2 linked regions of the Macaca fascicularis genome follow. Each later gene encodes a partner of the first gene's protein in a complex. Links are inferred from orthologs where the notes say so. Each region holds a gene or a part of one and is shown in the gene's direction. Other genes may lie near its edges.

Region 1 (3,653 bases):
CAATCAGGATTACGAAAAACCAGGTAACTACTTAGGCAAAACAAATATACTGTAATGGCATGTAGCAAATCTTTATGGTAAATTAGCATTTTATATGCAAATTAGGTTTTAAGGCGTATCTTTACAATTAAAGTGGGCCTGGCACAGTAGCTCATACCTGTAATCCCAGTGCTTTGGGAGGCTGAAGCGGGAGGATCACTTGAGACCGAGAGCTTAAGATCAGCCTGGCCAACAAAGCGAGACCCCATCTCTATAAAAAATAAAAAACTTAGGCATGGTAGCTAATGCCTATAGTTCCAGCTACTTAGGAGGCTGAGGTGGGAGGATTGCTTCAGCCTGGGAGGTCAAGGCCTCGGTGAGCTGTGATTGTGCCACTGCACTCCAGCCTGGATGACAGGGAGACCTTGTCTCGAAAAAAAAGAAATAGTTAGGAGCCTAGGGACCAGCTAGTATCTCCAATGTGTGAATTCAAGGTGATAGTGAAATCTCTTCATTTTAAAAAGGTTTCACGACTTCTGCCAGAGAAATTTGCAGAGCAGCTGATTCGAGTATATTGTAAGAAGATGGACAGAAAGAGTTTGTATGCCGCAAAACAACATTTTGTTCAGTGGTGCGCAGACAGAAATTTCACCAAGCCTCAGGTAGGTGGCCTGTTACTCACAAACTTTGCACAATTTTTTATTTTTAAGTAAAAACCAAAAATAATTCTATCTGCTGAAAAGTTCTCATTTAAGTTGTAGTCACTTGGTTATGGTTTTGAAAATAAGGTCTTTCACTTTCTTTCCTTTTAAAATGTCTGAATCTGTGTCAGCCAGTGATTTCTTCCTACAGGAGCTGGGAATGGATACTGTTTAGCATTATTGTCCTAATAATAAAAGATAAAAATGTGAACATGTAAATAATGCTTTCTAATGTTGTTCACCAGTGGCCCTGGAAAGTTGTTCAGTGTCTCCATCTTTCAGAGGTTACCAAAGCTGAGTAGTTAACTTGTTTAACATACAATTGATAATAGACTTCATGTTTCTAAACCTGGTTACTTCTGTGTATTAGTTAACTATTTAAATGATCAAGAATGAGAGTAGAGGGAAGAGGAGCCAAGCCACAGTTGCCAACCCTGTAGAGAATGTTGTTAAAATTGTCTCTTACTGACCTACACATAGTAGGTGTCTGCGCAGACAATGTGGCCAGTTGGCATTTATTGACTGAATGAATGAATATAATTGGCAAGCAGGGAAACAGTGCTTTACTGCCTAGTCTGGAACTCTCCCTCACACCTCCCTGTGTGTCAGGTGCTAAAGGGAACAAAGTATAGGGTGAGACATGAAAACATAGCTCAGGATGTCGGTGCTTTATCAAGTGCCACACGGCATGACCCAGGCAAGATCTCTGAGGATTCAGAGAGTTGGGAGATCTCTGGGAGAAGCCTGGTGAAGGGGCGGGATCTGCTAGATCTAGAAGGCAGGGTTTTTTGGATGAGCAGCAGGGAGAATGAAGGGTATATTTGGCAATGGGAGGAGCATAAACAAAGGCATGAAGCTGGAATGAGCTGAGAGTATTTAGGGGACCATGAGGAGACCTGTCTGTCCAGGGTAGAAAATTATTTTTTTTTAATTAATTAATTCATTCATTTTTTTGGGATGGAGTCTTGCTTTGTCACCCAGGCTGCAGTGACAACTGCACTTACTGCAACCTCTGCCTCCCGGGTTCAAGCGATTCCCCTGCCTCAGCCTCCCAAGTAGGCACGTGCCACAATGCCTGGCTAAATTTTTGAATTTTAGTAGAGACAGGGTTTCATTATGTTAGCCAGGATGGTCTCGATCTCCTGACCTTGTGATCCGCCCACCTCGGCCCCCCAAAGTGCTGGGATTACAGGTGGAAGCCGCCATGCCCAGCCAGAAAATTCTTACTGTTAAGTGTGGAGAGGTTAAATGGGAAGAGTGGACTGGATTATGGAGAACCTTGGATAATTGGCTGGGAGATTCTTTTCTCCATACAGTGGGGAAGGGATCACCGAGCACATTCAAGAGTTGCCATGCTCTGTAGGATCTGCCTGAATGTGTGTCTGCTCCAACTAGAGTGAAACCCGAGGGAATAAGAGTAGAATTGTCCCTTGGCATCTGTGGGGAACTGGCTCCAGGACCCCCACAGACCCCACAGATAGAAAAATCCACGGAAGCTCAAGTCCCTTATATAAAATGGTGTAGTGATTGCATATGACCTATGCATATCCTCTTTTATACTTTAAATATCTCTAGATTACTTATAAAACCTACTACAGTGTAAATCCTATGTAAATAGTTGTTAATACTGTATTGTTTAGGGAATCATGACAAGAAGAAACTCTGTACATGCTTAGTATAGACACAGGCATCCATTTCTCCCCCCCTCACATTTTCTATCTACAGTTGGTTGAATCTGCCCATGGATGCAGAGGGTCAGCTGTATGTCTCTCCTAGGTACTGTGAAATTAAATCACTGAAACTAAATCACTGAGAACTCTAGCTGCAGGTAGACTGGAACTTGGAGAGGCTGGAAACAGAGAGTCAAGAGAGGCTATTAAAGTTTGGCTGTGTCATGGTAACTACTATAAATTTGGTACATTTACTCACTGAGTGAGTATTTTGCCATGCCCTTGTTAGGTACCTGGAATAGTACGTAAGATAGAGAGTTCCTAATAACCCATGGATCCCATTCAGGTTGGGGATAACAATCTAGTTGGGGATAATAATAATTATTAATTTTACTCCAAAAATTAATAATTATAGGGGCATGGTAAGTACTTTGGGTGTAGGGTGAGTACACAGTCTTAGAGGAGGAAAAACAAAGAGGATTTAGCTGGTCTTAGTTGGTCAGGAAAAGCTGATTTAAAGAAGGGCTTATAAACTGAGACCTGAAGGTTGAGTGAGGAGTCGTCTGGGTTAAGGGCTGGCAGCAGGAGGTGGCGGTAGGGGAGGGGTTGAGGCATAGACACCACAGGATTAATTCAGAAGATGAGAAAGAATATGGTGTATTTCAGGAAGGAGCATAGAATGTGGAGGTGTCTGGGGCTTTATGCACAGTCCTGTCAGCCAAGAGCAGTAGGGAGCATCAGCACTGAAGGGTTTTAAGCAGGAAAGTGACATATTTGTTTACATTTATAAAATTCACTAGAATTGAAATTAGAATGAGTGGAAATAAAAAAGTTGGCTATATGCATGGTGGCTCACATCTATAATCCTAGCACTTTGGGAGGCTGAGGTGGGAGGATTGTTTGAGCCTAGGAGTCTGAGGCTGCAGTGAGCTATGATCACACCACTACACTCCAGCCTGGTTGACAGAGCAAGATGCTGTCTCAAAGAAAGAAAGAAAAGAAAGAAAAGAAAAGGAAGAAAAGGAAGAAAAGGAAGGGAAGGGGAGGGGAGGGGAGGGAAGGGAAGGGAAGGGAAGGGAAAGGAAGAAGGAAAGGAAGAAGGAAGGAAGGAAAGTGGGTAGAAATAGAGATGAGGCTGGGTGCGGGGGCTCACGCCTGTAATCCCAGCACTTTGGGAGGCCGCGGTGGGTAGATCATGAGGTCAGGAGATCGAGGCCATCCTGGCTAACATGGTGAAACCCTGTCTCTACTAAAAAATACAAATTAGCCAGGCGTGGTGGCGGGCGCCTGTAGTCCCAGCTTC
Region 2 (3,653 bases), on another chromosome or scaffold:
AAATGTGTGTGAATTAACCAGAGAATGAATACCAAACTCCTAGACTTAGGATCAGAAATCTGAGCCACTTTTATCACATTGGAGAAGTTCCTTACCTCTTCCTCTTCTTTTAAGTGAGAATCCTAATACCTGTATAATGGAGCCCTCGTGAGCAGTAAATAATGTAAATATTTGTTGGCACTTAGTAAGTATAGGTTGTATTTAAATATTTATCTAAATTTAGGTCGTTTTCAGGTTCGGAATGGATTGTGTTCTAAAATTGCCTTTGTATTATAACCTAAACTTTGTACTAAGAGTGACTTGATTGGAAATGGTCATTGTATTCTGCAGATATCTATACTGGTGAATTTTTCATCCTGTTCGAGGCTCCTTTGCCCACAATTTAAAAGCATTGCTTTATTTGTATTTTTTTGCAGGTTTGCATGCATCCCCACAATGTTCTGTCTGATGTGGTGAACTATACCCTGTGGTTAATGGAGTGTTCTCATGCTTCAGGATGCTGCCATGCTACCATGTTTTTTTCAATTTGCTTCTCATTTCGGGCCGTCTTGGAGCTCTTTGACCGCTATGATGGTCTTCGTCGTCTGGTGAACTTGGTGAGATTATTTCAGTGCTTTTCTCACTAGGATTAAGGGTCCTGGTTGTCTTGGCTGCCCTTTAACAGCACACCCTTGAAGAAAGGAAGCTTTTGGTTAGAGGAGTTTTGCTGCCATTCTTTCTGTGAAGTTTTTTTTTTTGTTTTTTTTTTTCCTTCCTTCACAAATTTCTCTTTTTCTTTAGTAGTTTGAGGACACTGTGCCATTGTAGACTTGCCTTGGATATAGTAATCTTATCACGGGGATTGGCAGTTGATGATCTTGATCTTTCTAAAAGCAATAGTTTTATGCCTGTATATTTTTTGCTGTGATTAAAAGCTTGTTCATTTTTCGGTATGGGTTTAATGTTTTGTTTTCATATAGCTACTGTTATCATGTTATATACACAGATATACATAAATATGGTTTGATATTTGTCAGTATTGTTAAGCATAAAAGTTTACTGATACATAGCAGAATGTGTGTGGAAAATAAAAAAAGTTTACTAAAATATTTTCCCATTTTTTAATCTTTTTTCTTAACTCTTGCCTTTTCCCCTCTTTTACCCCAATATTTTGTATCTTAATAGATCAGTACTTTGGAGATTCTAAATTTGGAAGATCAGGGTGCACTTCTGAGTGATGATGAAATATTTGCTAGCCGCCAAACTGGGAAACATACCTGCATGGCCTTGCGCAAATACTTTGAGGCTCACCTGGCCATTAAATTGGAACAAGTGAAGCAGTCACTTCAGAGGACTGAGGGTGGCATTCTTGTCCACCCACAACCCCCGTACAAGGTGAGAGGACCTTGTCTTGAAAGGGAAAGTTCTGTTAGCCCTCTCTGTAGCATCTCAGTCCTGAAACTCACATTCAGATCAGTGGACTCTGTGTTATGCCCATTGTTGGAGTATACTTCCCTGTTTGAAGGCAGAACCAATTGAAAAATGGATGTAATAGGTGAATTTCAGGGAATTATTTTGCTTCCAGTTGTAAGTTGCTGGGATTCTAGAACTAAAAGATTAACTGAAGTGTGTATAAAAAAGCTTTCTTTTTTTCTTTTTGAGATAGTCTCCCTCTGTCGCCCAGGGTGGAGTGCAGTGATGTGACCACAGCTCATTGCAACATTAACCTCCCAGGCTCAGGTGATCCTCCCACCTCAACCTCCTGAGTAGTTGGGGGACTATAGGCACACACCATCACACCCAGCTAATTTTTAAATTTTTTGTAGAGTTGGGGGTGCAACTATGTTGTCCTGGCTGGTCTTGAACTCCTGGGCTCAAAGAGGCCTCCCACCTCGACCTCTCAAAGTGCTAGAATTATAGGTGTGAGCCACTGTACCTGGCAAAGAACTATTTTGTATGAAAAGTACTAGATGATTTGCCTTCTATGCAGAATTTCTTTTCTGAAAATGTGTTTGTAACTCTACTTCTCTATCATTGTGGAGTTTGATATGTTTTGGGATATAGATGAGTAGCTGCATGTTTTTTAAAAAATCACCAACTGATTTCTTGAGGCCAGTAGTTTGAGACCAGCCTGGGCAACAATAGTGAGACCCTGTCTTTACAAAAGTTTTAAAAATTGGCTGGGCCCTGTGGTGTGCATCTATAGTTCTAGCTACTTCGGGGGCAGAGGTGGGAGGATCATTTGAACCCAGGAGTTCAAGACTGCTATGATCATACCACTACACTCCAGTCTGGGCACAGACTGTCTCAAAAAAAAAAAAAAAAAAAAAAAAGGCATGGTGGTGCATGAGTAGCCTCAGCTACTCTGGAGGGTGCGGTGGAAGAATCACTTCAGTCTGAGGGTTTGAGGCTGCATGTGATCAGGCTATGGCACTCCAGTCTGGGCAACAGAGTGAAACCCAGTCTTAAGAAAAAAAAGTCACAAATTGAAAAGAAATCAGTCACATGATGCTTCTTTCTCTTGAGCTATAACTTATATGCACAAAGGAAACTTGTTATCTTTTTGGACAAATCATATTGTGAGTCTAATTATAAATAAGGTAAAAGATTAATCAATATATGGTCATTATTTCACATATGGGCTTTTGACTTAAGAATTTTGGAATTTGAAAGGTATTATTATTTACTTTTTAATTAAAACCTTGGCCAAGCATGGTGGCTCATGTCTGTAATTCCAGCACTTCAGGAGGCTGAGGTGGGAGGATCACTTGAGTCTAGGAGTTCAGGGCTGCAGTGAGCTATGATCGTGCCACTGCACTCCAGCATGGACAACAAAATGAGACCCTGTCTCTACGAAAAATAAAATAATTAGCTGGGTGTGGTGGCATGTGCCTATGGTTCTAGCTACTTGGGATGCTGAGACAGGAGGATAGCTTGAGCCTGGGAGATTGAAGCTACAGTGAGCCATGATCAAGCCACTGCCCTCCAGCCTGGGCGGCCAAGTGAGACCCTGTCTTGAAATAAATAAGTAAAATGAAATATCTTGGCCAGTGAGCTGCGCTCAAGAAGGTAGTAGGCAGATGTAGAGTTATATATAATAATAATACTGTATATCTCTCCTTATAGGCATGCTCATATACTCATGAACAGATTGTGGAAATGATGGAATTTTTGATAGAATATGGCCCAGCACAGCTATATTGGGAACCAGCTGAAGTCTTCCTCAAACTTTCTTGTGTGCAACTCTTGTTGCAGCTTATTTCTATTGCCTGCAATTGGAAGACCTATTATGCAAGGTGGGACCAGAGAGAGATTTCAAATGAAGTTTGATGCATCTTTTTACTAAAGTTGATGTTGGTTTGTGCATGGTATATGCTTAACAAAATTTCTTGAATTGAAATTTTGGACTTGAAACTGAGAAATTAGGCATGAAAATATGATTTTTAATTTACAGCACACTTGTTCATATGTATGGTCTTGGTGATTGTAAATATTACGTAATAGGCAAGGATCAGCGTCTGTACTGTCAGAGAAGGTACGTGATTTACATGGCCACAGCTGCAGAGCTGGGGTTAAAGTCTTGTCTTGAGGCTAGAGTCCAGGATTCTTCAGTGCTTAGACTTTAAGTGTCTTGCTAGTACTTGACAACCATATATAATGTTTATATTATGTTC

The links.
Region 2: the proteins of SAMHD1 (region 1) and DCAF1 are in contact, whole or in part, in a crystal structure (PDB 4CC9), measured with the Homo sapiens proteins. The link is inferred for Macaca fascicularis from reciprocal best matches to the Homo sapiens genes SAMHD1 and DCAF1. Residues at the interface, in NP_056289.2 of Homo sapiens: Ser616, Arg617, Val618, Gln619, Lys622; in NP_001336097.1 of Homo sapiens: Asn1090, Glu1091, Asp1092, Thr1114, Gln1116, Asn1132.

The regions. Positions count from the first base shown.
Region 1 is NC_088384.1:93,014,324-93,017,976, reverse strand, and holds part of SAMHD1 (deoxynucleoside triphosphate triphosphohydrolase SAMHD1), read left to right. Parts: coding exon 1-23; intron 24-503; coding exon 504-641; intron 642-3,653.
Region 2 is NC_088376.1:114,447,028-114,450,680, reverse strand, and holds part of DCAF1 (DDB1- and CUL4-associated factor 1), read left to right. Parts: intron 1-416; coding exon 417-596; intron 597-1,164; coding exon 1,165-1,374; intron 1,375-3,105; coding exon 3,106-3,275; intron 3,276-3,653. UniProt on the Homo sapiens protein: Acts both as a substrate recognition component of E3 ubiquitin-protein ligase complexes and as an atypical serine/threonine-protein kinase, playing key roles in various processes such as cell cycle, telomerase regulation and histone modification.